Linked DNA regions of Oryctolagus cuniculus. The protein of the gene in region 1 interacts with the protein of each later gene in a pairwise test. Links are inferred from orthologs where the notes say so. Each region holds a gene or a part of one and is shown in the gene's direction. Other genes may lie near its edges. The genes, in order: CCDC33, EFEMP2, ZGPAT, MAGED1, BLK, NCK2 and KHDRBS3.

What was found.
Region 2: the proteins of CCDC33 (region 1) and EFEMP2 interact in a two-hybrid assay, tested with the Homo sapiens proteins (2 studies listed by BioGRID). The two-hybrid records come from large-scale screens. The link is inferred for Oryctolagus cuniculus from reciprocal best matches to the Homo sapiens genes CCDC33 and EFEMP2.
Region 3: the proteins of CCDC33 (region 1) and ZGPAT interact in a two-hybrid assay, tested with the Homo sapiens proteins (2 studies listed by BioGRID). The two-hybrid records come from large-scale screens. The link is inferred for Oryctolagus cuniculus from reciprocal best matches to the Homo sapiens genes CCDC33 and ZGPAT.
Region 4: the proteins of CCDC33 (region 1) and MAGED1 interact in a two-hybrid assay, tested with the Homo sapiens proteins (2 studies listed by BioGRID and IntAct). The two-hybrid records come from large-scale screens. The link is inferred for Oryctolagus cuniculus from reciprocal best matches to the Homo sapiens genes CCDC33 and MAGED1.
Region 5: the proteins of CCDC33 (region 1) and BLK interact in a two-hybrid assay, tested with the Homo sapiens proteins (3 studies listed by BioGRID and IntAct). The two-hybrid records come from large-scale screens. The link is inferred for Oryctolagus cuniculus from reciprocal best matches to the Homo sapiens genes CCDC33 and BLK.
Region 6: the proteins of CCDC33 (region 1) and NCK2 interact in a two-hybrid assay, tested with the Homo sapiens proteins (2 studies listed by BioGRID). The two-hybrid records come from large-scale screens. The link is inferred for Oryctolagus cuniculus from reciprocal best matches to the Homo sapiens genes CCDC33 and NCK2.
Region 7: the proteins of CCDC33 (region 1) and KHDRBS3 interact in a two-hybrid assay, tested with the Homo sapiens proteins (2 studies listed by BioGRID and IntAct). The link is inferred for Oryctolagus cuniculus from reciprocal best matches to the Homo sapiens genes CCDC33 and KHDRBS3.

Annotation. Positions count from the first base shown.
Region 1 is NC_091443.1:109,313,392-109,316,184, reverse strand, and holds the end of CCDC33 (coiled-coil domain-containing protein 33), read left to right. Parts: intron 1-1,444; coding exon 1,445-1,558; intron 1,559-2,092; coding exon 2,093-2,206; 3' UTR 2,207-2,293; downstream 2,294-2,793.
Region 2 is NC_091432.1:5,896,475-5,900,691, forward strand, and holds the start of EFEMP2 (EGF-containing fibulin-like extracellular matrix protein 2), read left to right. Parts: upstream 1-1,417; 5' UTR 1,418-1,589; intron 1,590-1,860; 5' UTR 1,861-1,861; coding exon 1,862-1,972; intron 1,973-2,188; coding exon 2,189-2,237; intron 2,238-2,727; coding exon 2,728-2,934; intron 2,935-3,382; coding exon 3,383-3,505; intron 3,506-3,804; coding exon 3,805-3,921; intron 3,922-4,037; coding exon 4,038-4,157; intron 4,158-4,217. UniProt on the Homo sapiens protein: Plays a crucial role in elastic fiber formation in tissue, and in the formation of ultrastructural connections between elastic laminae and smooth muscle cells in the aorta, therefore participates in terminal differentiation and maturation of smooth muscle cell (SMC) and in the mechanical properties and wall integrity maintenance of the aorta.
Region 3 is NC_091442.1:348,523-352,571, reverse strand, and holds the start of ZGPAT (zinc finger CCCH-type with G patch domain-containing protein), read left to right. Parts: upstream 1-1,249; 5' UTR 1,250-1,654; coding exon 1,655-2,091; intron 2,092-4,049. Other genes in the region: ARFRP1 (ADP-ribosylation factor-related protein 1), read right to left, coding at 61-127, 498-580, 948-1,035, 1,154-1,246. UniProt on the Homo sapiens protein: Transcription repressor that specifically binds the 5'-GGAG[GA]A[GA]A-3' consensus sequence. Represses transcription by recruiting the chromatin multiprotein complex NuRD to target promoters.
Region 4 is NC_091453.1:36,245,873-36,249,860, forward strand, and holds the start of MAGED1 (melanoma-associated antigen D1), read left to right. Parts: upstream 1-1,188; 5' UTR 1,189-1,225; intron 1,226-3,988. UniProt on the Homo sapiens protein: Involved in the apoptotic response after nerve growth factor (NGF) binding in neuronal cells. Inhibits cell cycle progression, and facilitates NGFR-mediated apoptosis. May act as a regulator of the function of DLX family members.
Region 5 is NC_091433.1:43,007,553-43,011,693, reverse strand, and holds the start of BLK (tyrosine-protein kinase Blk), read left to right. Parts: upstream 1-1,341; 5' UTR 1,342-1,679; intron 1,680-2,326; exon of another isoform or gene 2,327-2,990; intron 2,991-3,089; exon of another isoform or gene 3,090-4,141. UniProt on the Homo sapiens protein: Non-receptor tyrosine kinase involved in B-lymphocyte development, differentiation and signaling. B-cell receptor (BCR) signaling requires a tight regulation of several protein tyrosine kinases and phosphatases, and associated coreceptors.
Region 6 is NC_091433.1:102,853,616-102,857,788, reverse strand, and holds the start of NCK2 (cytoplasmic protein NCK2), read left to right. Parts: upstream 1-1,373; 5' UTR 1,374-1,664; intron 1,665-2,022; exon of another isoform or gene 2,023-2,294; intron 2,295-4,173. UniProt on the Homo sapiens protein: Adapter protein which associates with tyrosine-phosphorylated growth factor receptors or their cellular substrates. Maintains low levels of EIF2S1 phosphorylation by promoting its dephosphorylation by PP1.
Region 7 is NC_091437.1:161,088,939-161,092,438, forward strand, and holds part of KHDRBS3 (KH domain-containing, RNA-binding, signal transduction-associated protein 3), read left to right. Parts: intron 1-2,903; coding exon 2,904-3,050; intron 3,051-3,500. UniProt on the Homo sapiens protein: RNA-binding protein that plays a role in the regulation of alternative splicing and influences mRNA splice site selection and exon inclusion. Binds preferentially to the 5'-[AU]UAAA-3' motif in vitro.

The DNA of each region.
Region 1 (2,793 bases):
TGGGACCGGGATCAGGGCTCAGGGGGTGTCCAGGGTCAGGGCTCAGTGTGGGACCAGGATCAGGGCTCAGGGTGTGTCCAGGATCAGGGCTCAGTGTGGGGCCAGGGTCAGGGCTCAGTGTGGGGTCAGGGTCAGGGCTCAGTGGTGGGACCAGGATCAGGGCTCAGTGTGGGACCAGGGTCAGGGCTCAGTGTGGGACCAGGATCAGGGCTCAGTGGTGGGACCAGGATCAGGGCTCAGTGTGGGTCCAGAATCAGGGCTCAAGGGGTGTCCAGGATCAGGGCTCAGTGTGGGGCCAGGGTCAGGGCTCAGTGTGGGACCAGGGTCAGGGCTCAGTGTGGGACCAAGGTCAGGGCTCAGTGTGGGGCCAGGGTCAGGGCTCAGTGTGGGACCAAGGTCAGGGCTCAGTGTGGGGCCAGGGTCAGGGCTCAGTGTGTGTCAAGGGACAGGCTCAGTGTGGGGCCAGGGTCAGGGCTCAATGTGGGACCAGGATCAGGGCTCAGTGTGTCCAGGATCAGGGCTCAGTGTGGGGCCAGGGTCAGGGCTCAGTGTGTGTCCAGGGTCAGGGCTCAGTGTGCACCAGGGTCAGGGCTCAGTGTGGGACCAGGATCAGGGCTCAGGGGGTGTCCAGGATCAGGGCTCAGTGTGGGGCCAAGGTCAGGGCTCAGTGTGGGGCCAGGATCAGGGCTCAGTGTGGGGCCAGGGTCAGGACTCAAGGGGTGACCAGGGTCAGGACCAAGTGTGGGACCAAGGTCAGGGCTCAGTGTGGGACCAGGGTCAGGGCTGAGTGTGGGGCCAGGATCAGGGCTCAGTGTGGGGCCAGGGTCAGGGCTCAGTGTGTGTCCAGGATCAGGGCTCAGTGTGGGGCCAGGATCAGGACTCAAGGGGTGACCAGGGTCAGGACCAAGTGTGGGACCAAGGTCAGGGCTCAGTGTGGGACCAGGGTCAGGGCTGAGTGTGGGGCCAGGGTCAGGGCTCAGTGTGGGACCAGGATCAGGGCTCAGGGGGTGTCCAGGGTCAGGGCTCAGTGTGGGGCCAGGATCAGGGCTCAGTGTGGGACCAGGATCAGGGCTCAGTGTGGGACCAGGATCTAGGATCACGGTCTGACCAGGGTCGGGGCTCAGTGTGGGACCAGGATCAGGGCTCAGGGGGTGTCCAGGATCAGGGCTCAGTGTGAGACCAGGATCTAGAATCATGGTGTGACCAGGGTCGGGGCTCAGTGTGGGACCAGGATCAGGGCTCAGCACGCTGCAGGAATGCAGGGAGGTCCCTCTGCATTGTCTCACTGGGTGGCCCCCTCCCCTCCCCTGCTGCTCCTGGGGTCATGGGAAGATCAAGGCCATACTCCCCAGAGCTTTGCTTTCCCCCGGGCCTGCTTGTCCTGGCTTTCAGGGACAGGCCCTGCTGCCCACTGCCCACCAGTTGTCCCCCTCTGTGCCCGCAGTTGGAGGACTCGGCTCGGCGCTGGGGGCGGGAGAAGCAGGACTTGGCCATGCGCCTGCAGGAGCAGGAACACGGCTTTGGGCGCCCCTCAAACTCCATCATCATAGACGCCCCCGTGAGTGGCCCCTCCGTGGGAGCAGCTGCTGGGGCTGGGAGCCACCCCACCCCTTAAGTCACTGAGACAGACTGGGCGGAGCCGCTCCTGGGCTCTGGGTCCTGCTGTGTCCCCACCACCCTTGCTCTGGCCCCATTCCTGCCCCTGCTGAGCGGAGAAGACCCTTCGAGGCCGCCCTGGCCTTGCGGTGGCCAGGAGACACCTGGAGGAGGTGACCAGGAGACGCCGGGTGCTTCCTGCACCCCATGGGTAGCTTGTGGCCCCCAGCCTGGGATGGCACAGGCTCCTTCTCAGGAGACGGCACAGCCACTGTCTCCCCAAGAACCCCCACGCTCGGCCTGTCCACTCTCTGCTCACGTACGGAGGCGTGGTGGCTGGGTTGGGAGGGAGGCTCACAAAGGACTAGGGGACCGACAGGGGACGCCCCTGGGCACCGTGGGGGGCACCTGCTGGCCCCCTGGGTTTTGGATCCTGGGAGGCCTGCTGTGGCCGGCCCACCCGGGACACGGGGCGCTCACCCCCCTCGCCTTGCAGCCATGGAAAGCCTCGACCCCCGCCAAGGACCTCGAGCGTCCCTCGGATCTGGAGCCCCTGCCGCCAGGCTCGGACACGAAGCTCGGCAAGCCCGCGGACCCCCAGCAGACCTGAGCTCCAGAGCAGGCCTCCCCCGCTGTCCTGGGGGTCTCCCCGCGGCCCCAGCCCACCCTGTGACTTCATTAAACATTGGAGCACCAAGAGCGTCGGCCCGTTTCCTAGAGCGGCGTGGCCTTGGGCCAGCCTCCGCCTCCCGGGGCTAGCAGCAGGGCCGGCCAAGGAGCTATGTCTCCATCTAGCCAGGTGGGCGCACCAGGCGGGCAGGACTAGCCCACAGCGCCGGGCTCCCTGCTCCCACAGCCGGGCTCCACCTGCACCTCTGTTGGCTGCCCGGGCACAGGGAAGCTGCACCCCCACACACACGCTCTGCCTGGCCCCCAGCCCCCTGCTGGCTCCTGAGCTGCCAGCAGCAGGCAGGTCTCCACGGAGAGGGCCTCTAAGTGGGTGCCTGAGCCCCTGAGGCTTCTGTACTGGGTGACAAACACCCCAGGGGCTCCAGGGGAAGGAAGACCCTCCGTGCGGTTCGGCCGTTTATTGTCCTGATGAGGGCGAGGAAGGGGCAGAGTGGGGAAGAGGAGCGGGGTGGGGCCAGAGATGAACCGACAGCCGTGACTCCCCTCACTGGTGGGGCGGGGCCTTCC
Region 2 (4,217 bases), on another chromosome or scaffold:
CTGTGTCGGGCTGGGTTCCTGCTCACGCCTGGACAACCCTCCACGTGGGGGTGTGCTACCCACTGGTTGACTGACCCTGGTGGGGTTGCTGCTACATTCCAGCGCTCTGAAGCCCGCAGCGCGGTGCTGCTATGAGCAGACTTTCGGTGAGTAGCTGTCGCCCGTCCAGTCTCTGGGGAGGGGCGGGTGTGTACCTTTCGCCCGTCCGGTCTCCCGGGGCGGGTGTGTACCTGTCGCCCGTCTAGTCTCCCGGGCGCATACCTGGGAGCGAACCTGCCTGGTAACATCTGGGGACACAGCCGGATGATGTTAGCAGCTGCAGCCTAGGAGGGCTGCGAGTTCTCCGCACCCTCGCCAACACTCGTGAACGCTTGGTTTTCAAGAATTCGGACTTCGGGCTTTCTTGCCCCAGCCCCTGGGCAGGTGGTAGGAATGCATCAGCCTGAGCCCCACCGGGTCAGTTGGGGGCGATCGGGGGGTCAAGCAGGGATGGGGAAGGGACGGGAAGACCCGACTGTTCCCTCTCGCAGCCTGCGGGGTGCCGGGAGCCCTGCACACGCGGCCCTTTCCCGTCTGGCCCAGCCCTGAGACGTGGGCAGCGCGAAGCCCCGCCCCTTCCTGGGAGTCGAACCCTCCCGGGCTCCGCCCCGGCCACGCCCTCCGCTGGGGGAGGGGTCGGAAGCCGAGTGGGGGGCGCGGGCGAGAGGAGGGTCGCGAAGGCGTTGGCACCGGAGCCTGGCGTCCCTGGCCCCCGAGTGCACCCTGTCCCTGCTTCGCGGGGGCCTGCCATTCATTTGGGGCCAAAAGGGACCTGCGCCCCCGCCCCCGACCTCGGCTTGGAGGGCTGAGCGCGGGGGCGGGGGAGGCCGTGCAGGAGCGCAGGGACCACCTGGCGGGAGATGGCGGGGCGGGGGGGGGGGTAGAAGGGAGAGATGGGCAGCTCTGCTCCCGGGACCCGGGAGCGTCTCGTGCCGGGGCGAGGGTCGGGGGCCCGGGGTGAAGTTTTGGGGACGTCTGGAGTGACGGTCTGGGGGCACAGAATACAATTCTGGGGGGGTCGAGTGAGGGGATGGAGGCCCCAGGGCTGGGTGGGGCCTCGGATCCTACCTTCGGGGAGGCTCAGAATGAGGGTCTGGGGGTGCGGGACTGAGCAGTGGGTGCGCAGAAAGGAATTCTGCGCGCGTAGGTAGCAGCCAGGTGCGCGGGATGACGTTTCTGATGAGGGCCTGCCCCCCCCCCCGAGTGAGTCTGGGGGCTTGGCATCCAGGTCCATGGCACCACGATCGAGCGCTGGGGGACCCTGGCCCGGCGCCGGGAGGCGGCTCCGGGAGGCGCCGCGGGGGACCGGGCGGGGGCCTGCGGCCGCCGGCCGGGGGCGGAGAAGCGGGGGGTCGGGGTCCCTCCCCCTGGCGCGGGCTCAGGAATCCGCCGAAGGGCGGGCGGAGGCGCCGGGGTGGGCCGCACCGCGGCGGGCGGGCGGGCGGGGGGCGCTTCCTGGGGCCGCGCGTCCAGGGAGCTGCGCCGTCCGCCCGTCCGTCCGCCCGCAGGCACTGTTGGAGCCGCCGGAGCCGCGGGGGCGTCGCGGCCGAGTGAGTGGCGGCCCGTGGGAGGGGGGCGCGGGCCGGAGTCTCGGCAGAGTCGGCGGCCGCCGGGCCGAGAGGCCCGCACCGCCAGGGAACCGGGCGGGGGCGGAGTGGGCCCGGAACCCGGGCCTACGAAACGAGTGGGCCCCGGGTCCTGCGGGGCTGCAGGGCCCCAGGCTCGGACCTGAGCCGGAGCTGGCGGGGCCGGGGCCCGGTGCGGGGGGATGGGGCGGCCGTGGCAGAGGCCCCTGACCCGCCCGCCCCCTCCCGGCCGCAGGATGCTCCCCTTCGCCTCCTGCCTCCCTGGGTCTCTGCTGCTCTGGGCGCTGCTGCTGCTGCTCTTGGGGGCAGCGTCACCGCAGGACTCCGAGGAACCGGACAGCTACACGGTGGGGACAGCGGGGGCGGGTGGCCTACCACTGGGAGACCAGGGTCCCCGGAGGCTGTTCTTGGGGGAGATTCGCCCCCCCAGCCCGGCCGGTAGAGCAGCTGGGGGCCGTTGTTTGGAACAGACTGGGAGGGTGGCCCAGGCTCAGGCCCTGCTATTGGCCTGGCCAGTTGGAGGGGACCCTGGGTGACCACTGCAGCCTCCGGTTTCCTTCCAGGAATGCACCGATGGCTATGAGTGGGACCCAGACAGCCAGCACTGCCGGGGTGAGTGTGACAGGGGGACCAGCCCCCCAGGAGCAGGGACCAGAGCCCAGGGGGCCTGTGCTCTACCCAGCCCAGCAGGGCAGGGCGGCCCCTCCCTCTCCAAGAACCCCGGTAACCCTGTCCCCCCCCCCCGGGGTAGATGGGAGAGCCACTGGGGGAGCCCCGGAGCAGCTGGTCCCATGGAAGGCTTTGCCCCATCGCAACCTGGGAGGGCGGTGTCCACGGGGGGGGGGGGGGCTGCAGATCACTGCCCGGCTGAGCCAGGGCCAGGACCCCCTTGGAGGCAGCGTGGGGGCAGCAGTGGCAACCCCTTCCCCACTTCCAGCCTGTGGCGGGGCCGTGTGGAGGGGAGGGGTCCTGGGTACACCAGGCTGCCTCAGCTTGTGGAGCTCAGGGAGGGCCAAGCGGGCTCCTGCCTCGCCCCCCCCGCCCCGCCCGGGGCCGGCCCCCCTCCCGGGACCGGCTGTGCCGAGCAGGCCGCCTCCCGCAGATGTGAATGAGTGCCTGACCATCCCCGAGGCCTGCAAGGGCGAGATGAAGTGCATCAATCACTACGGGGGCTACCTGTGTCTGCCGCGCTCCGCTTCCGTCATCAACGACCTGCACGGCGAGGGCCCCCCGCCGCCTGTGCCCCCCGCTCAGCACCCCAACTCCTGCCCGCCAGGCTATGAGCCCGACGAACAGGAGAGCTGCGTGGGTGAGTCCCTCTGGGCCCGGGCGTCCCATGCTGTCGCCACGCTTCTCGCAACTTGGGCTCGCGTTCTTGCGTTGCTCCAAGCCCTTACTGATGGCTCCTGGGGGCCACCAGGGGCTGCCCGGCCCCTCATCCAGGCCCTCGCTGTGTCCGGGGCCAGTCCCAGGGGACCCTCCCCTCACGTGCTGCAGAGACCCTGCAGGAGCCTTGATCTGGACTGCACCCCTGGAAGCCGCGGGCCCTGGCGGGGGGTGTCCTGGGATCAGGGTCGCTGGGGGCTGAGGGTGTGGACAGAGCCTTGTCTCCTGCTGCCTCCCAGGCTGGTGGGCGGGTGGGAGGGGTCTCCTGTGCCCTCGTGGTGGCTTCTGGACTGCGTCCTCCCACGCTGGGTGCCTGCCTCGCCGGATGGCGTGAGCGACCCCAGGCGGAGGCTCAGGGGTGTCTGCTGCAGATGTGGACGAGTGTGCGCAGGCCTTGCACGACTGTCGGCCCAGCCAGGACTGCCACAACCTGCCTGGCTCGTACGAGTGCACCTGCCCGGATGGCTACCGCAAGATCGGGCCGGAGTGTGTGGGTGAGTGCGGCCAGCAGCCTGTCTGTTCCTGAGCCCCCAACTCCAGCCCACCCCCGGGCGTCACCCCAGCCCCCGGCCCCCTCTGCCTTCCTGCCATCAGACACAGAGGACTGCATGGACACCGTGTGTGTGCGCATGCGCATGTGTGTGTGTGTGTGTGCCTGTGCGTGCGTGCGTCCTCTGGCTGGCTGGCCCCGTCCAGCTGCCCAGAGACATCCGGGTCTGTGGGCAGTGAGGCCTCGAGTGGGGGCCCCACTGACTGGCGCCTTCCGCGGCCTCCCTCCCCGCCGCCGTCGCAGACGTTGACGAGTGCCGCTACCGCTACTGCCAGCACCGCTGTGTGAACCTGCCCGGCTCTTTCCGCTGCCAGTGCGAACCGGGCTTCCAGCTGGGGCCCAACAACCGCTCCTGTGTGGGTGAGGCTGGGCCAGGCCGGGCTCCTGGGGCCCCCGGGGCTGGGAGGTATGAGCTGGGGGAGCGCCCTTGGCGGCCAGCCCAGACTGCCCCTCTGCTTTTGTCCCGGCACCCCCAGATGTGAACGAGTGCGACATGGGCGCCCCGTGTGAGCAGCGCTGCTTCAACTCCTACGGGACCTTCCTGTGTCGCTGCCACCAGGGCTACGAGCTGCACCGCGACGGCTTCTCCTGCAGCGGTGAGCTCAGCCCTGCGCGGGCTCCCCCAGCGGCGGCCAGGGTGCCCCCACGTCCCGTCC
Region 3 (4,049 bases), on another chromosome or scaffold:
TGGCCCTGGACCGAACTCCTTAAACCCTCAGATGAGCCGCACCCTCTCCTCACTGCGCACCTGGACGCCTGCCCGCTGCCCCGGGGGAACGCTCCACCACCACTTCTGGGGCCACTCCGGGAAGGGGCTGAGTGAGACAAGAGGTGGCGCAACTCGGGAACCGACAGGAGCAGGGACAGCAGGGACCACGGGCAGGGCGGGCAGCGCGGTGTGGGCGGGCAGCGCGGTGTGGGCGGGGCAGCATGGCATGGGCGGGGCAGTGCCTTGTGGGTGGAGCAGCGCAGCATGGGCGGGGCAGTGCCTTGTGGGTGGAGCAGCGCAGCATGGGTGTGGGCGGGGCAGCATGGCATGGGCGGGGCAGTGCCTTGTGGGTGGAGCAGCGCAGCATGGGCGGGGCAGCGCGGTGTGGGTGTGGGCGGGGCAGCATGGCATGGGCGGGGCAGCGCGGTGTGGGCGGGGCAGCATGGCATGGGCGGGGCAGCGCAGGGCCGTCTTACCTTGTCCCATAAGGACTGCAGCTCCTCCTGGCCGCCCAGGTCCCAGAACATGAGGCGAGCTTTCCCCACGTCCACGGTGCCGACTGGACAGAGAACAGGAAAGGCTCGTGACCTTGCCCCTGGACACACACGTGCCAGAGCTCCTGGGGGACCAACAACCCACTGGCGCTGCTGGGAAGTCAGCGGCTGAGGGCAGGGCAGGCCCTGGGGTCACCATCGGTCAGGGCGGGGTCTGGGGTCACCATCGGTCAGGGCGGGGTCTGGGGGTCACCATCAGTCGGGGCAGGCCCTGGGGGTCAGCAGAGGAGGGCAGGGCAGGGTCTGGGGTCACCATCGGTCAGGGCGGCCCCGGGGTCAGCAGCAGTCAGGCCGGGCTGCGGTGGCCAGCTGCTGGGCCGTGGCCGTCACAGCAGGCTCAGGGCTCCACCCGCGCCAGAGGCCCCGCCTTACTGTTGAGGCCCACGGTGGTGGTGATCTTGCTCAGGCTCATCCCCTTGTAGTTCTTGCTAAACCGGGTCTTCGACTGCTCCAGGAAGGTCTGGGGAGACAGGGCAGGCGGCGTCGGGGGCCAGTGCAGGCAGGGCCGCGAGCCGCTGCCGCTCAGGGGGCGGGGCCTGGCCCCAGCCCAGCGCTCCGGGCCGCGGCCGGGCACCTACCGTCTTGCCGGCATTGTCCAGCCCCAGGATCAGGATGCAGTACTCGTCTTTCTGGAACATGTACTTGTACAGGCCGGACAGCAGCGTGTACATCCTGCCCTGGACACCGAGACACGTCACGGCCGTCGGGCCCGCGCCCCGCCCCGCCAGGCTCGAGGCGGGCCCGGGGGCGGCTCCCGCACGGGCCTCGGCTCCCGCCGCCCCGCGTCCCGGCCGCACGGCCCCCGGGCCCGCAGCCTACCTGCGCCCGCCAGACGCGCGGAGCAGCCGAGCGCCGGGCCCCGCCGACCCCGCGCCGACCCCGCGCGGCGCCTGACGGGACGCGTCCCGGCGGCCCCCGCGCGCCCGGCACTTCCGGCGCGGAGCGGAAGTGCCGGCGGCAGCGGCGGCGAGGGCGGAAGGGGCGCCGGGCGGCTGTGGTGGGGGCCCGGGGGCCGCGCGGAGGAGGCCGGCCCGGGCGGACGCGGCGGAGGGCGCCCCCGGCGCCGCGCGGCCCGCGGCATGGACGAGGCGGCCCTGCAGACGTACCGCGCGCAGCTGCAGCAGGTGGAGCGCGCCCTGGGCGCCGGCCGGGACTCGCCCGAGGAGGCCGACCTGCGCCAGCTGCAGCGGGACCTGCGGGAGCTCATCGAGCTCACCGAGGCCGGCCTGGCGTCCGACGGGCCCGGCGCCCCGCCTGAGCCCCCGGCCCCGGCCGCCGCTGCGGGCCCCGCGCCCGCGCCCGCGCCCGCCGAGGAGCTGAGCGGGACCAAGGTGAACGCCCCCTTCTACAGCGCCTGGGGCTCGGCCGAGTACCACAACGCCATGGTGGTGGGCACGGAGGAGGCGCGCGGCGGCGCGGCGCGCGTGCGCGTGCTCTGCCTGTGCCCCACGCGCGCGGCGCTCAAGCCCTGCCCGTTCTTCCTGGAGGGCAGGTGCCGCTTCACGGAGCGCTGCAGGTGAGGCGCGGGAACCCCCGGGCGCGTCTGCGGGAGGCCGGAGCCGGTGCGGCCCAGCCGCCGGCTCCGCGGGAAGACGTGGAGCGTACCTTCCTGCGGGGGTCCCCCCGCGTGCGCAGAGCAGGGGCGGCGCCGTGACCTCCCCCGCTGCCCTGGCTCTGCCAGTCTCGCGCCCCTGCGTTCCCTTCCCGACTTTGTAAAAGTATTCGTTCACTTGAACGACTTGGAGGTCATCCATCCGCTGGTCACTCCCCAGATGGCCGCAGCGGCCAGGGCTGGAGAAGGGGGCGGGGCGGCCACGACGCGGGGCCCAGCCTTGCCGGCACGTCTCCCGCGTCTCCCCTCCTTGCTTCCTCCCTGGAGTCTTGCTGTAGCGTGCAGGCGGGGCGGCTGGGCTCTCCTGCCCGGGGTCTCGGGGCTCCGTCCCCGCCGCTCCGCTGGAGGGGGCAGCAGGCGCCGGGCGCTGCTGGCCGAGGCGGCCCGGCCGTTCTGAAGACTTGCAGAGCGGGTTACATACACCTGCCCCAGCACGGCTAGGGTTGCAAAGTTGTTTTCCTGGACTTTTAAGACAACAGAAACAAAACGGGCTGGGCTCCCGCTGCGTGGGTCCCCTGCAGTCTGCCCCCTCTGCCGTTGGTGCGCCTGCTCTTGCTGGAGGCGTCCCCGCGTGTGTCGCGTGGGCGGTGTGTTCAGCCCTGTGGATGCTGCCTCTCTGTTCTGTCCCCGCCTCCAGGGAGAGCTTTGCCCGGCCGAGCCCTGGCGGCAGTGACCTTGCCTGACCGGGAGCTGCGGGGGCCCGGGTTGGACTCTGTTTCCCCTGTGTCTGGCGAGGACGGCCAAAAAACTGTCTCAGACCCCCTCCCTCGACGGAACTGGGCGCTGTGCCGGGCTGTGAGGTCAGACGCTGTGTGACCAGATGGACTCCCTGACCAGCTGGCCGGGAAATAGCCGCCCCTCCAGCAGTGGCCGCTGGCCGGGCTCCCCAGGCTCGCCCGCGCCCTGGCTCAGCACTCCTTGTCTTTTTTAGATCGATTTATTTGAAAGACAAAGTGACGAAGATCTTCCATCCGCTGACTCACTCCCCACAAGGCCACACCAAATTCAAAAAATTTATTTATTTATTTGAAAGGCAGAGTGACAGAGGGAGAGACAGAGATCTCCCACCCACTGGTTCACTCCTCAGGGGGCCTCCACAGGCAGGCTGGACCAAGCCAGAGCCAGGACTGGGCTGTGCTGGACCAGGCTGGAGCCAGGACTGGAGCCGGGGTGCCCCAGCACTTGACCATCGTCTGCTTCCTTCCGAGGCGCGTGACCAGGGAGCTGGAGTGGAAGCCACACTGCAGTAGGGCGCCAGCGCCACAGGCGGCAGCTTCACCCTCGGCCACAGCACCAGCCCCCGCTTGGTGTTGCCGTAGCTCCCGGCCCGGCCAGCCCCTGCTGTCTCTGATCGGCCGTGTCTCCACACGTCACAGTGGGATCTGCCTGTCACCCCGCCTTTTTCTGTGGCTTACTTCACTTAGCCCTGGTTTCAGGGCCCATTACCGTGTGGCGTGCATCAGAGCTCCATTCCAGCCCACGCACGGGCGTTCGACTGGAGTGGGGGGCTGTTGGGACCCCACGTCCCCCTGCAGTGCCGCCTGCAGCTCCTGCTACTGTGGGCCTTGGGAGGCAGCAGGGAGGGCTCCGGCCGTTGGGTCCCCAGATGGAGTTCCTGGCCCTGGCCTGGCCTCGTCCTGGCCGTCGTGGGCATCTGGGAGATGAACCAGTAAAGTCTGTCCTCTCGAATAAATACATTTTTAGAAAGAATCGTTCACGGGGGAGCTGGATGGGAAGTGGAGCAGCCGGGACTCGGACTGGCGCCCCCGTGGGACGCTGGCCCTGCAGGCGGTGGCTTTACCCGCTGCGCCACGGCGCCGGCCCTGGTTCTGACGGTTTTGATGGCTCTGTCTTCTCAGAGT
Region 4 (3,988 bases), on another chromosome or scaffold:
ATTCCTACGAGGATAGACATAATAGAGTGCTTTCTGAATGAGTCCACTTTTATTTAGAAATTTGAATATGCTAATTCTCTGGATACCACTCTGTGACAAAATTCAGTAATCATATTTTTTACAAAAGCTAATAAGGGGCAGAAGTTGTGGCTGGGAGGTGTGGACACTCCTTGGGACACTGGCATCCTGAATGGAAGGTCTGGGTTCAAGTCGCACCTCTGCTTCTGATCCAATTTTCTATTGGTACACAGCTTGTGAGGCAGCATGTGATGGCTCAAGTACTTGGATCCCTGAGATTTGGATGGAATTCCTTTGGATCCTGACTTTCACCTAGTATAGCTGGGATGGATTGCTGTGGGCATCTAAGAATGAAAGAACTTTCACTCCCTTTCAGATGAAAACAAATACATATTATTCAAAAAAATTTTTATTTTATTTATTTGAAAGAGAGTTACAGAGAGAGGCAGAGGCAGAGGCAGAGAGAGAGAAAGAGGTCTTCCCTCCGCTGGTTCACTCCCCAAATGGCCGCAACGGTCAGAGCTGAGCCCATCTGAAGCCAGAAGCCAGGAGTTTCCTCCGGGTCTCCCATGCGGGTGCAGGAGCCCAAGGACTTGGGCCATCTTCTACTGCTTTCCCAGGCCACAGCAGAGAGTTGTATCAGAAGTGGAGCAACCGGGACTCGAACTGGTGCCCATATGGGATGCCGGTGCTTTCGGCCAGGGTTTTTAACCTGCTATGCCACAGTACCGGCCCCAAATACTTATTATTTTTTAAAAAGCTGATAAAAATAAATTTTCTAAATTTTCCAATTTTCCAAATTGCTGCCCCAGAAAATAGTAAATCAGTATGGTTAAATATGTAACTGTATACATCCAAGACATTGATAATGAAGTCTGAATTAAAGGAGTAAGGTAAAGGAGTCTATTTCTAAGACAACACGACGAACTGAACAAGTGGGATTTGGTAGAGATACTGTAGTTTCTGAAATGATTAGAGTCAGAATTTGCAGAAATTTACTGATTCCCTGTCCTGGGCCCTTTATATCATTATCCAACTTCTCATCTGGGAGCTAATGAGATAAAGCATCCCAGCGCTTGCTAGAGAGGCACAGGAAGTTGCCTGGAGGGAAGGGAATGGGGGTGGCAGCGGCAGAAGCCAAAGCTTCCGCCAAACAAAAGAGGAAAGCACTTCCGGTCACGCCATCGTCGCTGCCTTCTTCGTCAAGGTGAGTGTAAAGAAGGGGACTGATAATTCTCACAAATAAATCCTGCTCCCTTCGGGGAAACGTTGCTTCTGGCCTCAGCATGAGGTGGAAACAAGGTGTATTCATTCTCAGAGTACAGCGTGTGAAGGATGCTTCTGACGCCTGTGGTTCTGATCGCTTCACCATCTCCTCTCCTCCTCCTCAGGGGAAGGGAGGCCGGCACCCGCCCCCTGCCCCCACCCTTGCTTCTGACATTCGTGGTTCTTTTATCCTCCCGACTTCTGGTCATGCTTCACATCCCCTCTTTATCCCGGATCCTTTTCTCCGGTATTTCTGGTTGTTCCCTGTCCCACAAATCTCTCTCTTCCACTAATCCGCAACTTCCGCCCCGCGCCCTTTTAGCCCCAGACCCTTGGCGAGCCCCTTCCTATTCTCTCAGCGGACATTCTTCCTTCCTTCTCTTTCCATCCCAGAATGAAGGGAACTTAAGAAAGTTCCAGGAATATGAAATTAAAAGATGCAGTTATTTTGGTACACAAATTTGATTCGTAGGTTTCTTTCCCCCCATAATACGCATTTTCCACGAACTTTTTGAAGACTCGTATTTTACTCCCTTTGCTGGCTTTCGGTCTTTTACTGTCTCTCCCCTGCAGAGGCCATTGCGTTATACATTTTCCAAAAGCAAGTATGTCTTAAACGTTGAGTTTGCTTTTCTTGTTCTTAAAAAAAAAAAAAAAAGAAAAGCAAAGAAGCAGAAATTGTAGAGCCTGAAGAAGGCATCGGGACTTGTTCAAATTATGTCTGTCTATTTATTTATTTCTCTCAACAAAATTATGCGCCATTTAGTTATTATTGCACTGGTTTCAACCCTCTAAGTGTTTGTATTGATTGACTGATTGATTGTAGTTTTTTTTTAAATGTTGGCAGACAGAACTCCCAGAGTTTTGGAGGAGCAAACATAATGGGTTTTGCGTATACGTTGGTGTCAGCTTTAGAGATGGAAGCTTTCCCATCTCCTGTAAAACCATTCTTAGAGGAGAAGTGATTGACAGGCTTGAGGTCCAATCCTCAATTTATTACTTCAGGAGTTAACTTTATTATACAAATCCTTTTCTGGTCTCTAGGGGCAACATTGAACAGTAAAGCTGGCAGATTTTTTTTAAAGATGGTTTCCTAGGCTCACTTTACGATTTTTATATAGTCTGCCTGTTGCAATGGGAACTTTGTCTTTTCGTGTCTTGAAATGTGAGGTGTATTTTTCTGTTCCATGTGTTATGCAAAATTTATCTTGGAAGAATATCAACTGAATTTATTCGCTTTTCTTTACCCATATGATCATTAAATTTGTGGTAAGGACAAGGTTTTTGTCAGGCTTTATGAAGAATTTAACCACAGTTCCCCTTGAATAAGCAGTTAACTTCTTCCTCCTCCTGTAACTCATGTGTTGTGTTTGACAGAATGAGCGATGACTCCCTTTTCTAGGGCAGAATTTCAGTTCATTTAGATAGAATAAACAAATGAGGTGGATTTCATGACAGCAGAACACTCAGGAACTTTTTAAAACGGTATTAGCAAATGTCTCTTTACTCATATTATTATGCAACATTTATATGTCTTTCACACTGTTTTCAACCCACTGTGCACCCACCCATTTGATTTTGTGTGTGTGTGTGTGTGCTGAATAGCTTATATGTCAGACAGTGTTCTCAGAACTGGGAATACAACAGTACAAAACAAAAGTAGATGTTATAGCTGAGAGGCAATAAATGAATGCAGAGATCTTCAAAAAGTTCACAGAAATAGGCATTATCTTTTAATTTCCTTTTCCAGGAACTTTTTCAAGGCACCACTTCTATAAAATAAATTGTGATGGGGGCGAGCTGTACTGTTTTAGATAAGATGGTCAGGGAGCTCTCTCTGGTAGAGTGGCAGTTCAGTACAGACCTGAAGGAAATGAGGATGCAAATTATGCAGATTATTATTGGAAAAAAATACTTTCATGCTATGATCTCTCATTTGTCATTCACTCTGCTTCCTACATCTCTTTTGCCATCCCTGTGGTCCTCTAGTGGCCACTTTGCTGCATAACTTTAATTCAACACTACCAACTCAGATAACTCAATCCATCGCAATTCCCTGTATTCTCTGCCACCTGGCTAGCTTCTTGCTACCATTGAGATGAATTGCCACTTAACAGTCCCTTTAGGAAGGAGGCTGTATCTATATCTCTAGCCCCACCTCACCCCCAGTTTGTTTATTCCTGGTGCATTGTGTGCTATTCTATAGTAATATTTACCTATCTTTTTGACTGCTATTACCACTGTGTGTTCATAATATTTTGCCCATAAATGTTTGGTGTGGTAATTTGAAATTAATCCAGTGCTTGTCAGTAAGAGACAAACTTTTAAATATAGTTTCTCCACTAATGTTCACAATTACTCTCTAAGGTCATTAGTCATTGTTGTCATTTTGCTGATGATAAAACCAAGACCCAGAGGTCTGGAATAACTTGCTAAACTGCTATATTTCATGCATTTAAAGTCCATCAAACACTTAGTCCTGGTCAGGTTCTCTCTATCTCTCTGTTAATGAGAAATAGAAAAATATACAGACTATTTTATTGTTTTATAAGACATAATCTGTGTGCAGAAACTCCAGTTTTTGGAAACTTCCTGTCATAGATAGGAGTATCATGTACTTGAATTACATGCTAATTGATAAATATTAGGAGCCATGAAATATGACTCTACCCATTTTTAATAAAGATTTAAACAAGCAGAAATC
Region 5 (4,141 bases), on another chromosome or scaffold:
TCCCAACCATTCCTGACGGGGTCACTGCTCCCACCTCTGTCTAACACTGTGCATTGCTGGGCTTCTGTAGCTGCCCCCATCTGCCCCATGGTCATTGTCTGTTTTCTGGACTGGGTCCCCCAGATGGGACTGAACTGAAATAGTAAGACTGAGTTGTCTCATCTCAAGCCATCAACCTTTACAGCAGAAGTTGAAGGAGTCTGGAACTCTTGTAACTTGTGTTTAATGGTTGAGCGCAACAACTGGATGTGAGGAAGCCAATGGGATAATAAACTACAAACAGCTACTTGTACTGACCACACCTGGCACACTGGACGCTGTTCTGAGCCCACTGCTGCCAAGTATGGAAGAAGATGAAGCCATTTTATGATTCAGATTTGGGGCTTGGCCATCTGGGGTTCACCATGCCCTAAATACTGTAACAGAAACGTGTGATGCATGAATGCTCTCGTTTTCCCCCTAAAGCCCTTTGGGGAAATGAAGCCCATTGTTTCCACAGTGTCACTGCGGCTGCCACTGCTCTGAGCCTCTTTAGAGAGACTCTCTCCTCTCTGTAACTGACAGTGAGTATCATCCTATCCCTAACTTCCAGGGACAGAAACTCCAGAGGAAACAGACACTGTGGACTGCTTTGTAGAAGCTGGCCCGCCTGACTCCCACACCCCACCTCCAGGACTCCAGACCTAAAGGGAGAACAAGAATCCCCCAAACCAGCTTCCTTGGACACAGATAGGGAGCAGCTGGCCAGGGGGTCTCCCTGGCTGCAGGACTATGAAGCAAGTCTCTTGAGGTCGTTTCAGCAGCCTTCTTGGGCTCACTGGTCCCTGGACTGCTCTAGTGCAGGCCAGTCCTCACCACTCTCTATGTTGGGACCCCCCCCCCACTCCCAGTGTTCCCTTGAATTTTCATTGTTCGAGTGAAGCTCTGAGTCAGAATGGTCTGCTGATTACTAAATAAATAAATAAATCATGGGGGAAATAACATTTATTGAGCACCAAATTTGGGGCCTGCCACTCTCACCCCATCTGCCATTATTCAATGTTCACAGCATCCTGTGAGCCAGCTATTATTAGCATCATTTAAAAGACAAAACCAAGTCAACAAGGCTGAGAGAACAGGTGCTGTGGCTCACGCAGGTGCCACAACGTGGAGCCCAAGCCCTTGTCTGTGAGGCAGAGCAAAACACCTCATAGAATACACGGATTGGAGGTTTGTGAACTCAGTGCAGAGAAAAAAAAAAAAAAAAAAAAAAAACTCCGCCATGTTGTCAAACCAAAACCCCATGAGAAAACTTTCTGGTGGCAGAGGGCACTGCGACCAGTGTGGCCCAGGGCCGGGGGGGAAGCGCAGCTGCTCGTGGTCCTTGCTGGGACAGAGGGTTCCTCAGGGTGCAGCCAGCCCACAGCAGCCTCCAGGGCGCGAGGCAGGAGGGGCGGGGCTCTTGTTGAGGTTGCCCCTTGGGGGCGGCCGGCTGAGCTCCGATCACAGCCTGGGGAGGCTGCCACCAGGAAGCCATGAGGTCCCCACGCCGCCGACAGGGATGAGAACAATTCATCTGGGCATGGACTTTTTCTTTAGGATCGCCTGGTGAGTTTCCGGCTGGAGACAGGAGGCTGTACCACCTTAAAGGCACTGCGATTTGAACAGCAATGGTGAGAAACCACTGACGCGTTGGCAGGGTAAGTCTCTGTGCCTTCCGGCTCTCGGCTATCTCGTTTCTGTACATTGCACGGTGCTCCAAGGCCTATATTTGGAGGAGTGGGCAGGGATATTGCTCCAGTGTTATTGATGGAGAGAGAGGGAATTAACATGATCTGTGCCACAGCTATGGGTAGATTGCCCAGCTGTTTGCTCATTTCTACTTTAGAGGTGGTTTTTTTTTTTTTTTTACTTGTAAAATTTTATTGATCCGGGTAGTTTCTGTGTCTTATGGTCTCTAAGCTGGGGAAGGCAGTGCCTATGGGCAGGGGGAGGAAAGGACATGGGTGGCACACACAGCCCGGCTGCCGAGCTGAGGGCAAGTGCGTCCACCTGCTTGCGAGAGTACAGAGCTGAGAGAGGGTGGCAGGGGCGGGCGATGCTGGCTGGCTCCGCCTTTGTTTTTGTTTGTTTCTGAATGAGGCTGTTCCATTTGTCAGGCATGTGCTGGTGGGTTGGGAGAAAAGGCTTAGGATGATCTTTTTGGTGAAGAGATCTGTTTTGTCAAGAAGACCAACTGCTGGTGTTTCCAGCCGCTGGGGTCAGGGGTCGGGGTTCGGGTCGCCGGGCGGAGTGAAGGCGGGAGGCGCCGGCGCCAGACACGGAGGGAAAGAGCTCAGACCCAGCGCCCAGAGGCCGCGGAGCCAGCCGAGCCGCCGCCGCGCCCCAGGGCGGCCACCAAGGACAGTCACGAGGACCACGACACCTCCACGGAGAACGCGGACGAGTCCAACCACGACCCCCAGTTTGAGCCAATAGTCTCTCTTCCCGAGCAAGAAATCAAGACGCTGGAGGAAGATGAGGAGGAACTTTTTAAAATGCGGGCCAAGCTCTTCTGATTCACCTCGGAGAACGACCTCCCGGGGTGGAAGGAGCGCGGCACGGGCGACTTGAAGCTCCTGAAGCACATGGAGAAGGGGGCTATCCGCCTGCTCAGGAGGAGAGACAAGACCCTGAAGATCTGCGCCAACCGCTACATCACGCCAACGATGGAGTAGAAGCCGAACGCAGGCAGCGACCGCGCCTGGGTCTGGAACACCCACGCCGATTTCGCCGACGAGTGCCCCAAGCTGGAGCTGCTGGCCATCCGTTTCCTCAATGCTGAGAATGCGCAGAAATTCAAAACAAAGTTCGAAGAATGCAGGGAAGAGATTGGAGAGCGAGAAAAGAAAGGAACCGGCACAAACGACAGCGCCGAGAAGGTGGCCGAGAAGCTCCAGTCTCTGTCCGTGCAGGGGGAGTGCGAGGAGCCCGCGGAGCAGGCCCCGGAGGCCGCCGGGGAGCAGCACTGAGCGCCTCGCCCTGCCCTGCCCTGCCCTGCCCTGCCCTGCCCTGCCCTGCCGTCCTGTCCCGTCCCGTCCCTCTGCCTCTGCCTCTTTCGTTTTTGTGTGTGTGTGTGTTTTAAAGCCCTGCACCTCTTTTTCGGTTTGTTGTAATTATATAAAGTCCCTTGCAAAAAACAAAACAAAAACAACTGAATTCAACATTCAGGTGGTTTTATTTTTTCAGTTTTTGGCCCTCTCGAAGCCGACTGGAGCAGTCCATTCCCCAGTCATGAACATGTACTGTGCTAATAACTTCCTTTTTCATAGTGGAAACACTTATTTATAGGCATCAGAAATAGTGAATAAAAGACACATTTGAAACCTGGAAAAAAAAAAAGACCAACTGTTAACAGGAAAGAGCAGTTGATAACACAGTTTGTGGGGATTTTGTTAAAATGCTAGGACTTTGGCAACTTTCTCATCCATTCGGTAATGGGCCATTGATCTCACCCTCCTCCATCCACATTACCATGGAACTCAAAAGAACTGTTCTGTGCTACCAAGAGCTCTCTGTTATATGTAGACCCTCCTACCCCCAGGGGGTGGCGCTCATTCTGACTGCGGCTTGGACTTAGAACTAGGAAAGGGGAAATGGTAACTCTCCATTGGAGAAACCTGCAGAGCTCGGTAAACAGCACCAAGCTATGCCCTTACTGTGAGCTTCTGCACTCAGACGATTCTTCCCCCACGCCACACGGCCCCAGTCTTATCATGAGAAGACAGACAAATTCACACTAAGGGCTGTTCTGCAAACGTTTCACCTTCAAAACCGTCAAGATCACCAAAAGCAAGGGAAGACACAGCAACTGCCACAGATCGGAAGAGGCTGGGAGGTGTGACAACTGAATCCAGAACGCACTCCCTAGATCCAGAACAACACCGACAGTGGACGCCAGCTGACGCCCACAGGAAGCCCAGAGGGACATTAATGTTAAAGTACCAGAGTTCACCCCTTAGTTCAGGCACCACGGACACAGGTGAGCCTGGGGGGAAGCTGACTGGCGCCTGCGTGAGAATTCTCTGTACTGCCTTTGTGACATTTTTCCTACGAACCTAAAAATATCCCAATTTTAAAAGCTTAAAAACATAACACTCATCTGCGCCCGTGGCCCAGTGGG
Region 6 (4,173 bases), on another chromosome or scaffold:
TGTGGGAGCACCTGGTTTGAGTCCCAGTTCCTCTAATTTGATTCCAGCTTAGTGCTAATGTGGACCCTGGGAAGCTACAGATGATGGCTCTGGTGTTTGGGTTGCTGCCACCCACGTGGGAGGCCTGGATAGGATCCCAGTTCCTAGCCCAGCCCTGGCTGTTGCAAGCATCCGGGGAGTGGACCAGCAGATGGAGGCTATCTCTCTGTCCCTCTGCCTTTCAAACAAAAACTAAATAATTTCTTCTTAAAGTTCAGGCGGGTGGTTAACTAAAAAAAAAAAAGGACACATCAGACTAAAACCTTGATTGCTTTGGGAATCGAGGAAGGAAGACAACAGACCTCCTATAAGGAGAAAATATGGGCGGGCCAGAAGGCAATAGGACCAAAATCAATCATCTAAGATCAATGGAAAGATGATGGAGTTTCAGGAGGTAGAAATGCCACGTGCTTCAGCAGACCCTGTAGGATTAAGGTTTAGAGAGTGGCATCAGTGAGTTTTTCAAAGAATCAGAGGAGGAAGAGGAGAACCATGACTGAGATTTTACAAAGCAAACAAGGGTCAATATTGCTCTACGTATTTGGAGTAAGCCCATTGAAATTTGGGCCGACTATGGACTAAAATTCTGCTTTCCTCACTCCTAAGATGAGACTTGCACTAAAGGATGAGCTTTGGTAGCTTCTTTCCCAGAGTCAAACAGGAGGCTGTCCTGAGTCCCAGATCTTGAACTTGATCTCTGCTCAAGGTAGTGTACCTCCTTCCACATACTGAGCTATTCAAGGGTGACCTGTCGCCAAGGCGTGTCCCTGGTACTGTTGGAGGTAGGTAGATATTATCTCCCCATTTCACAGACTTGAGAAAAGTCAAGAAATCCCTGTGTGAGGTTACACAGGTCAGAAGTCCACAGTCCAGCAGGCCACTGATGACGGAGCTCCGGGGACTCTACTTACCCATTCTTGGGTGCTTTGGGGGAGGGAGTCAATCAAAGAATGTTGCCTTGCCTCCTTGGGTGAAACATTACTGTTTTCCTGAAGATCAGAAGCCAGGAGCCAAAGAAAGCATCTCACTGACACGGATGCAGGCGATCCCACCAGGGCTTTGGAATCCTTGGAACATTAGGGTTTCCTCTGGGAAACCACGGGGAGAAGGAGTTTGGAGAAAAGACATCTGGACGCATCCGGAAGGGGAGCTCTCCGGTCTCTGCCTCTGCTCTCGGGTTTCCAGCTTCCAAGTTTGTTTACTGGGCCACACAACTCCAGGCGGGGTGAGGCTGGGTGAGCCGGTCGGGCCCACCCCTCACGGTACCCGCAGGGGCCCAGGGGCAGGCGGCTCCTGATTGGGCTCTGCTCCCGGGGCTGTGCAACCCGACTCCCGGCGGCTGGAGCGGGCTTGCGTGCCTGGGAGGCATCAGAGGTCGGAGTTCCGCTCCTCCCCTTAGGAAGCGCCTCCGCCAGGGACGAATGGACTAAAAACGTGTCTGGTTGGGAAAGTAAATAGACGCAAGCCAAATAAAAATAAAAATGCCCGCAAGCAATCACAGGGAGGAAGTGACATTTTGCTGGAAGTCACTTTTCTGATGGACCACAGGCCTGCTGCGCTGAGCGCGCCGTGGGAATGCTTCCGGGAGGGGGGGGCGCGGTCTCCTCTCCAACTCGCGCGTGGCGGTAAGAGAATTAAACAAACAACAAAAAGAGCACGCGAAGCCCACCCGGCCGGCCTCCGGGGCTGGAAGTTAATGCCTGCATTTTTACGGTCGTCCCCACCCCGCCCCCGCAAGTGCGGGCGCGGGGACCTAGCCTAGCGCTCGGCGCCCCGCAGGGCCCCGCGGCGCCCCGCAGCGCAGCGTTCTCCAGCCCCGGGCTAAGCCGGGCGCGTTCCGGGGCCGGGCCGCGGAGCTCGGCGGAGCCCGGGGGCGCCCCCAGGTGGGTGTCGGGCCCCCGCCCCGTGCGCGCGCGGGGCCTGGGCCGGCCCCTGGGCGGCGTCACGGCGCGGCCGGGGAGGAGCGCGGGCGGACGAGGAAGAGAGCGGAGGAGGCGGGCGTTGCGCGCCGGGGGAGGGTCGCCGCCGCCGCCGCCTCCGCCGCCGCCTCCGGGAGCTTCAGGCCGGAGCCGCGCGGCCGAACGGGCGGCGAGCGGCGGGGAGGCTCGCGGCGCCCAGGCCGGCGGGGTCCGCCCGGCGGCAAGACGCGGGAGCGGCGCAGACAAAGAGCGGCGCTTGGGCGGGCGCAGCGCGGCCGCCGCCGCCCCGGGACCCGCGCCGCTGCCCTCCGGCCTCGGTGGGCGGCCCGTGGCGAGGTAAGTGTGTGCGCCGCAAACTTGGGGGCCCATTCGGCGGAGTTGGAAGCGCGGCGGGGCCCGCGGGCCGGGACGCGCCCAGGGAGGGGCTGGGGGAGTGGGGCCCCTCCGCGCTCCGCCGGTGCCCTCGCCCCCGCTGCGGCCTGGGCGCCCTCCCCACCGGCTGTGGACTGCTCGGCACCTCCAGGCTCCGCACCTTCCTGCCCGCCTTCCGGGCCCCCCACCCTACCCCCAGAGGCCGGCTTGGGGGCAGGGGCGCCCTCCAAGGGCGCGCGGGCGAGGAGCTGGGCAGGGGCCGGGCGGCGGGGCCCGGGGACTGGACACCTCCGGTGCGCAGGGAGTGCCCGGCCTGCGGGACGGACGGCGGCAGGCACGGGGCCGGGGCCGGGGTCGGCGTGGGACCGAGCGGCGGCCGCGGTCGCCGGGGGAGGAATCTCCGGGTCGCAGGGACGCGGGGGGTCACGATGCACCCGGAGAACTTAACTGTGTGTTGATTGCAACTATTTCTGATCCCACACAAAGCTGCTGTCACGTCGCGTAAGGGAGGGTCGACGGCCCGGCGCTGGGCGCTTTTGTGCGGGTTTCAGGGTCTGCGCCCTGCCGCGGATTTTCAGGGCACCCTTGGAGCCAGCCACTTGTACCAAAGTTTCTCCCGGTCGCTCTGCGTTCCGGGCGATGGAACCGCCAGGGGGTCCTGGAAAAACGTCCTGTGTGACTCTGAAAGCATCCACGACGGCTGCCGCGTGGGCGCCGTGTGGGCTTCGCATTGTGTGGGATAACGCTGTACTTTGTGGACAATGCCGATCGCCTGGGACCGGCTGTGGGCGGAGGCTGGGGGGTCACTGGCTGGTGGCCAGCAGGCACCTGGCTAAGTCAGCCTCCTCAGGACAAAGCAGGGGCGGGGGTGGCAGTGCCTCCCTTATTTGGCCAACAGGTTTGAGGCTTTGTGCCAAGTTTGCATGGGCATCATGGGGTGAGTGGGCCCCAGTCGCGTCCGGAAGGGCCTACACCATTACCCAGGCCTGCTCCTTGCACTGACCCAGGGAGAGACCGAACCCAGGGGGAGGGGCTGGTGGGCGTGGCTTTCTGGGGACCCACAGGTAGGGAGTCCCTTCCTGGCCCGCCCCAGTCCTGGCAGTTCGGGAAGGGTTTTTGTGTAGCCGTGAGAACCAATCGGGGGCTGTGTTTCCTGCTGCTGTTTTTGATTAAGTTACCTACAGAGTTATTTTTTTCCCCCAAGTCTTGAAAGTGGCGGAAAATGAAATTAACCCGGGCTGCCTTAACTTATCAAACCAGATCTGAGCTGTGCCTCAGAACACGCCCTTAGTGCACTCACCACCTGTGCCCAGATAAAGGCTCCCAGCGTGTGTGTGGTTTATGTGAAGAGTGGCAGGCAGAGAGCACCGGGGCCGAGGTCCAGGAGGGGGGGTGCAGGTGCATGGATGTTCGCAGGAGGGCTTTCCTGAGGAGGGGCGGTCTCCCCGCTTGAGAAGAAGTGACCACAGGGGCAGGTCCTGCCTGAGTAGCTCTCTCCTTGACACGAGGAGAGTGGCAGGGTCTTGGTGGCCTTGTGGTGGCCACCGGAGGGTGAGATGGCAGCTTTAGGCAGTGCTGGGTTTGCTCCTCTGGGTTCAGGGAGTCTCAGCTGCTGTGTAAACACTGCCAGCGGTCCTGACAGGCGGGTGAAACTGACTTGGCAAAATTGGCTGCATTGTAATCTTCTTGGCCCAGTTGAGAGAAACTGACCCTTTGTAAATAGAGGCATGGGTGGAAGGTGCATTTCCAGTAGCTTGGTCAGTTTTCAGGCTTTGAGTAACATGCTGGGGACTTAAACCTTCATTGCAGGCTGTTGGACCCTTGTCATGTTCTCAACCTCTGC
Region 7 (3,500 bases), on another chromosome or scaffold:
TCAAATGATGGCACTTGATTCCTTTACTCATTTAATATTGCAGAAGAAAATGGAAGCATATATAAGTCAGTTGATTAGAAGTGTGTATCTTGCATGGAATTATTCCACTTTTGCTGCTATCTTAATCCAGTTTTAATTTTAAGGCCATATGGTAGTAGACTTCATGATGTGAGCAGTGAAACCCAAGGATAGGAACCCATTTACTTACTTATTTTGTTTGTTATTCAGGGAGTTCCTTGGTCAGAAGACTGTTTTGTGGCGTAGAGTACTGGTGATCAGGGCATTCATGAGCAATTCTCAAGTGGAAAGGAAGCGAGGCAGGCAGATCTATCTAAGTTATATGTCCAGGTGATAACAGATGCTCGGCTATCCATAAAAGGGCTCCGTGGTCCTTCCAAGTTGTATTGTCATATCAAGGGCTTGTGGTTGTTTTCTGTTGTTGGCATACCAGGCACTCAGCAGAATTAGTAGCTAGACATCTTTTGTAGGGGATTCTGTGTTGTGCAGTATCATGTAGCTTCTGTCCTTCTTTCCATGATCATTTTGTTTATGAGCGCCTTGAGTAGCACTGAACTGGCTGGGGAGTGAGATACCCTAACACTAGCAACAATGGGTTTCTACCTGATCATTGAGGACCTACTCCACATTTGCTTGGGTCACCCTGGTTTTACACACTTGGGCCTCTTTCTGAACCAGTTATCACTAACTCAGTAATCCTTTCATTTCTATGTTTTCTTCCCATTTGGTACAGTAAATCACTGTGGAGATTTTGTAAGTAGCTGATGATATATGTTCCATCAAGCCACCCAGGAACAGGACGAATAGCATTCAGTGTGAATTTATAATCTGATGAACTCACTATCAGTGGATGAGGACCAATATCTTTTTACCCCATAAGCCACACTCTGATTGGTGGCCCTCCATGGATTGGCATTAGGTCAGAGTTAATTCTTTTACAGGTTAAATATCCTTAATCTGGAAATCTGAAAGTGCTTCTAAAATGGAATTTTTTCAAAGATATATTGTGTATTTACTTATTTATTTATTTGATAGAAAAAGGAAAGGATCTTCCATCAGATAGTACACTCCCAAAATTCTCGCACCAGCCTGGGCTAGGTAAGACTAAGTCAGGAACCCAGAATTACATCTGGCTCTTCTATCATCTATTGCCTCCCAGGCACATTAGCAGAAAGCTGGATTAGAAGGGGAATAACTAAACTGGCATTCCCATATTGGAGTCAGTATCTGAAGGAGTAGCTTTACCTCCTGAGCCACAATGCCCACCATCTTAAAATTTGAAACTTTCTGAGCCCTGATTCAATGCCAGAAATGCAATGTTCTGTACTTGGCCTTATGGGGTGGGTCTCAGTCACAACACAGGCACACTGAAAACATTAAAGCCTTTAGACTGTATGTATAAGGTATATATGAAACATGCATGAATTTCTATTCCAAGTTGGGTCCCATCACCAAGATAGGTCATTATGTATAAAGAGATATACTAAAATGTGAAAAATTCTGAAATTCAAAATATTTCTGTTCACAAGATTTTGGATAAGGGATATTCAACCTGTAACTCTCTGTATAGGTGTTTAGCCTCATTGAAAGTCACTCTCATAAAAGGTGCCATATGTTTCTTGAGGAGACTCGGAGGTAGTGTCATACAGTGGTAAATGTTACAGGTTAGGTATGCATGCTGCCTTCTTCCCTAGATTCAGTTTGCTTCTCTTATTCTTTGTATCCCTGAAACAAACAGATGTCTGACATAAGGAAGAGGAGTTAGAAAGTATGAAGGTGTCTTCTCCTTTCAAAGAATTGTCTCTGCTGTTCAAGCAACATAGGAAAAGCATCACCATATGGTACAGGCTTCTGCCAGTGTGGAAGACTCCATCGGGTTTCCACTTTTGGATGATCAGAGTTATTTGAATCATCCCAAATATTACCAGTACAGTCCTCTGGTTTCTTTGTTAGCTAGACATTACTCTACAACTCAAATAAGAGAGAGTTTGGATATTCAGCAGTACACACATTTTAACTCTGCATCTGTCTTTTGGTTCCATCAGCCTGTGTTTACTACAGTAGAAGCTTCTAGGATACTTCAGGCTCTTTGTGCCTTGAACTGATAACTTAAAACCATGAGTCTGTCATTTCATTCTTTAAACTCTTGATTACCATAAGAAACAGCCCATTTCACTCCAGTCCACTAGTTGTGTTGTCTTCTTGTCCCCGGAACTGTGCTGTTGCCTCTACCACTGGAAGCCTCTCACTGAAGTTGACCACAGCTGATGATTGAAGTAACAACTTTGCTACTTAGGTAGATATTACCGATGACTGTATTGTCATCATATCTTCATTACATGAACTCTAAAGTATTAACTTCTGTTGATTGTTTTCACAAATTCTCAGTTAATATGTTTATGTTTAGCCATTACTTACTATTAAAATCTCATTCTAAAGAGATCTCATTCTTAGGTTCTCGGTGTGTTTACTATTTAATGTGAACTCAGTTCACTTTCTTCTAGTTGCTACATTGATGAAATTAGTGGAATCATGACGTGCATCAGCTACATATACAGCATAATAATCATGATACTTCTGTGGTCTATTAAACCATCAACAACTGGAGAGGTTTAAGGAAGGGAGTCAGGAAGAGGTGAAGGAGCAGGCAATATTGAGTCCGTGATCCTTATGGGCAGTGTCCTGAGTGGAGACTTTATCCTAGTATCAATGGGAAGCCTTTGGAGTATTTGTAAATACCTACAGTGGAAAGATCCGATTTACCATTTACTTCTTCCTCAGGGTAATATATGCTGTTCAGTAAACAGATAAGCTTTGGGTAGTTTTTGTTGTCTGTCTTCTTTCATAATGTCAGATTTTTAAATATGATTTTTTTCTTTCTCCAGGAAGAAGAGTTGAGGAAAAGTGGAGAAGCAAAGTACTTCCACCTCAATGATGATCTCCATGTGCTCATTGAAGTGTTTGCCCCACCAGCGGAAGCTTATGCCCGCATGGGACATGCTTTGGAAGAAATCAAAAAGTTCCTCATCCCTGTTAGTCCTATATTTATTCATAGCTCACTTGACCTTTAAAATACTTATTTTGCTTTAGGCCTTGACAATAATTGTAATTTGCATAGATCTTTATTTGTAGTAGACGTTACAGCATCCCTGTAAATTATTTGACATTATTCCTTTTTCTTATATGAGAGGGTGGAGTTTGGAGAGATTAAATACTGCTACGAAATTTACATGGCTGAAACATTTGCAGCAGCACAATCTGTTATTCATATTTTTGAACTCCAAGTTGTACACTTTTATGTGAGACTGAAAACACGTCCAAAACTGATTGATGTCCAACATAAACACATCATTGCCTTCTGCAGTCAAGCCCTGTGCGTGGTGTTGACCACACAAACAGGAAAAATTAATACCTAACATCGAGGAATATATAGTTTAGGGGAAAAGAAACATCAACAGATTACTTAGTGCAGCATGGTAAAT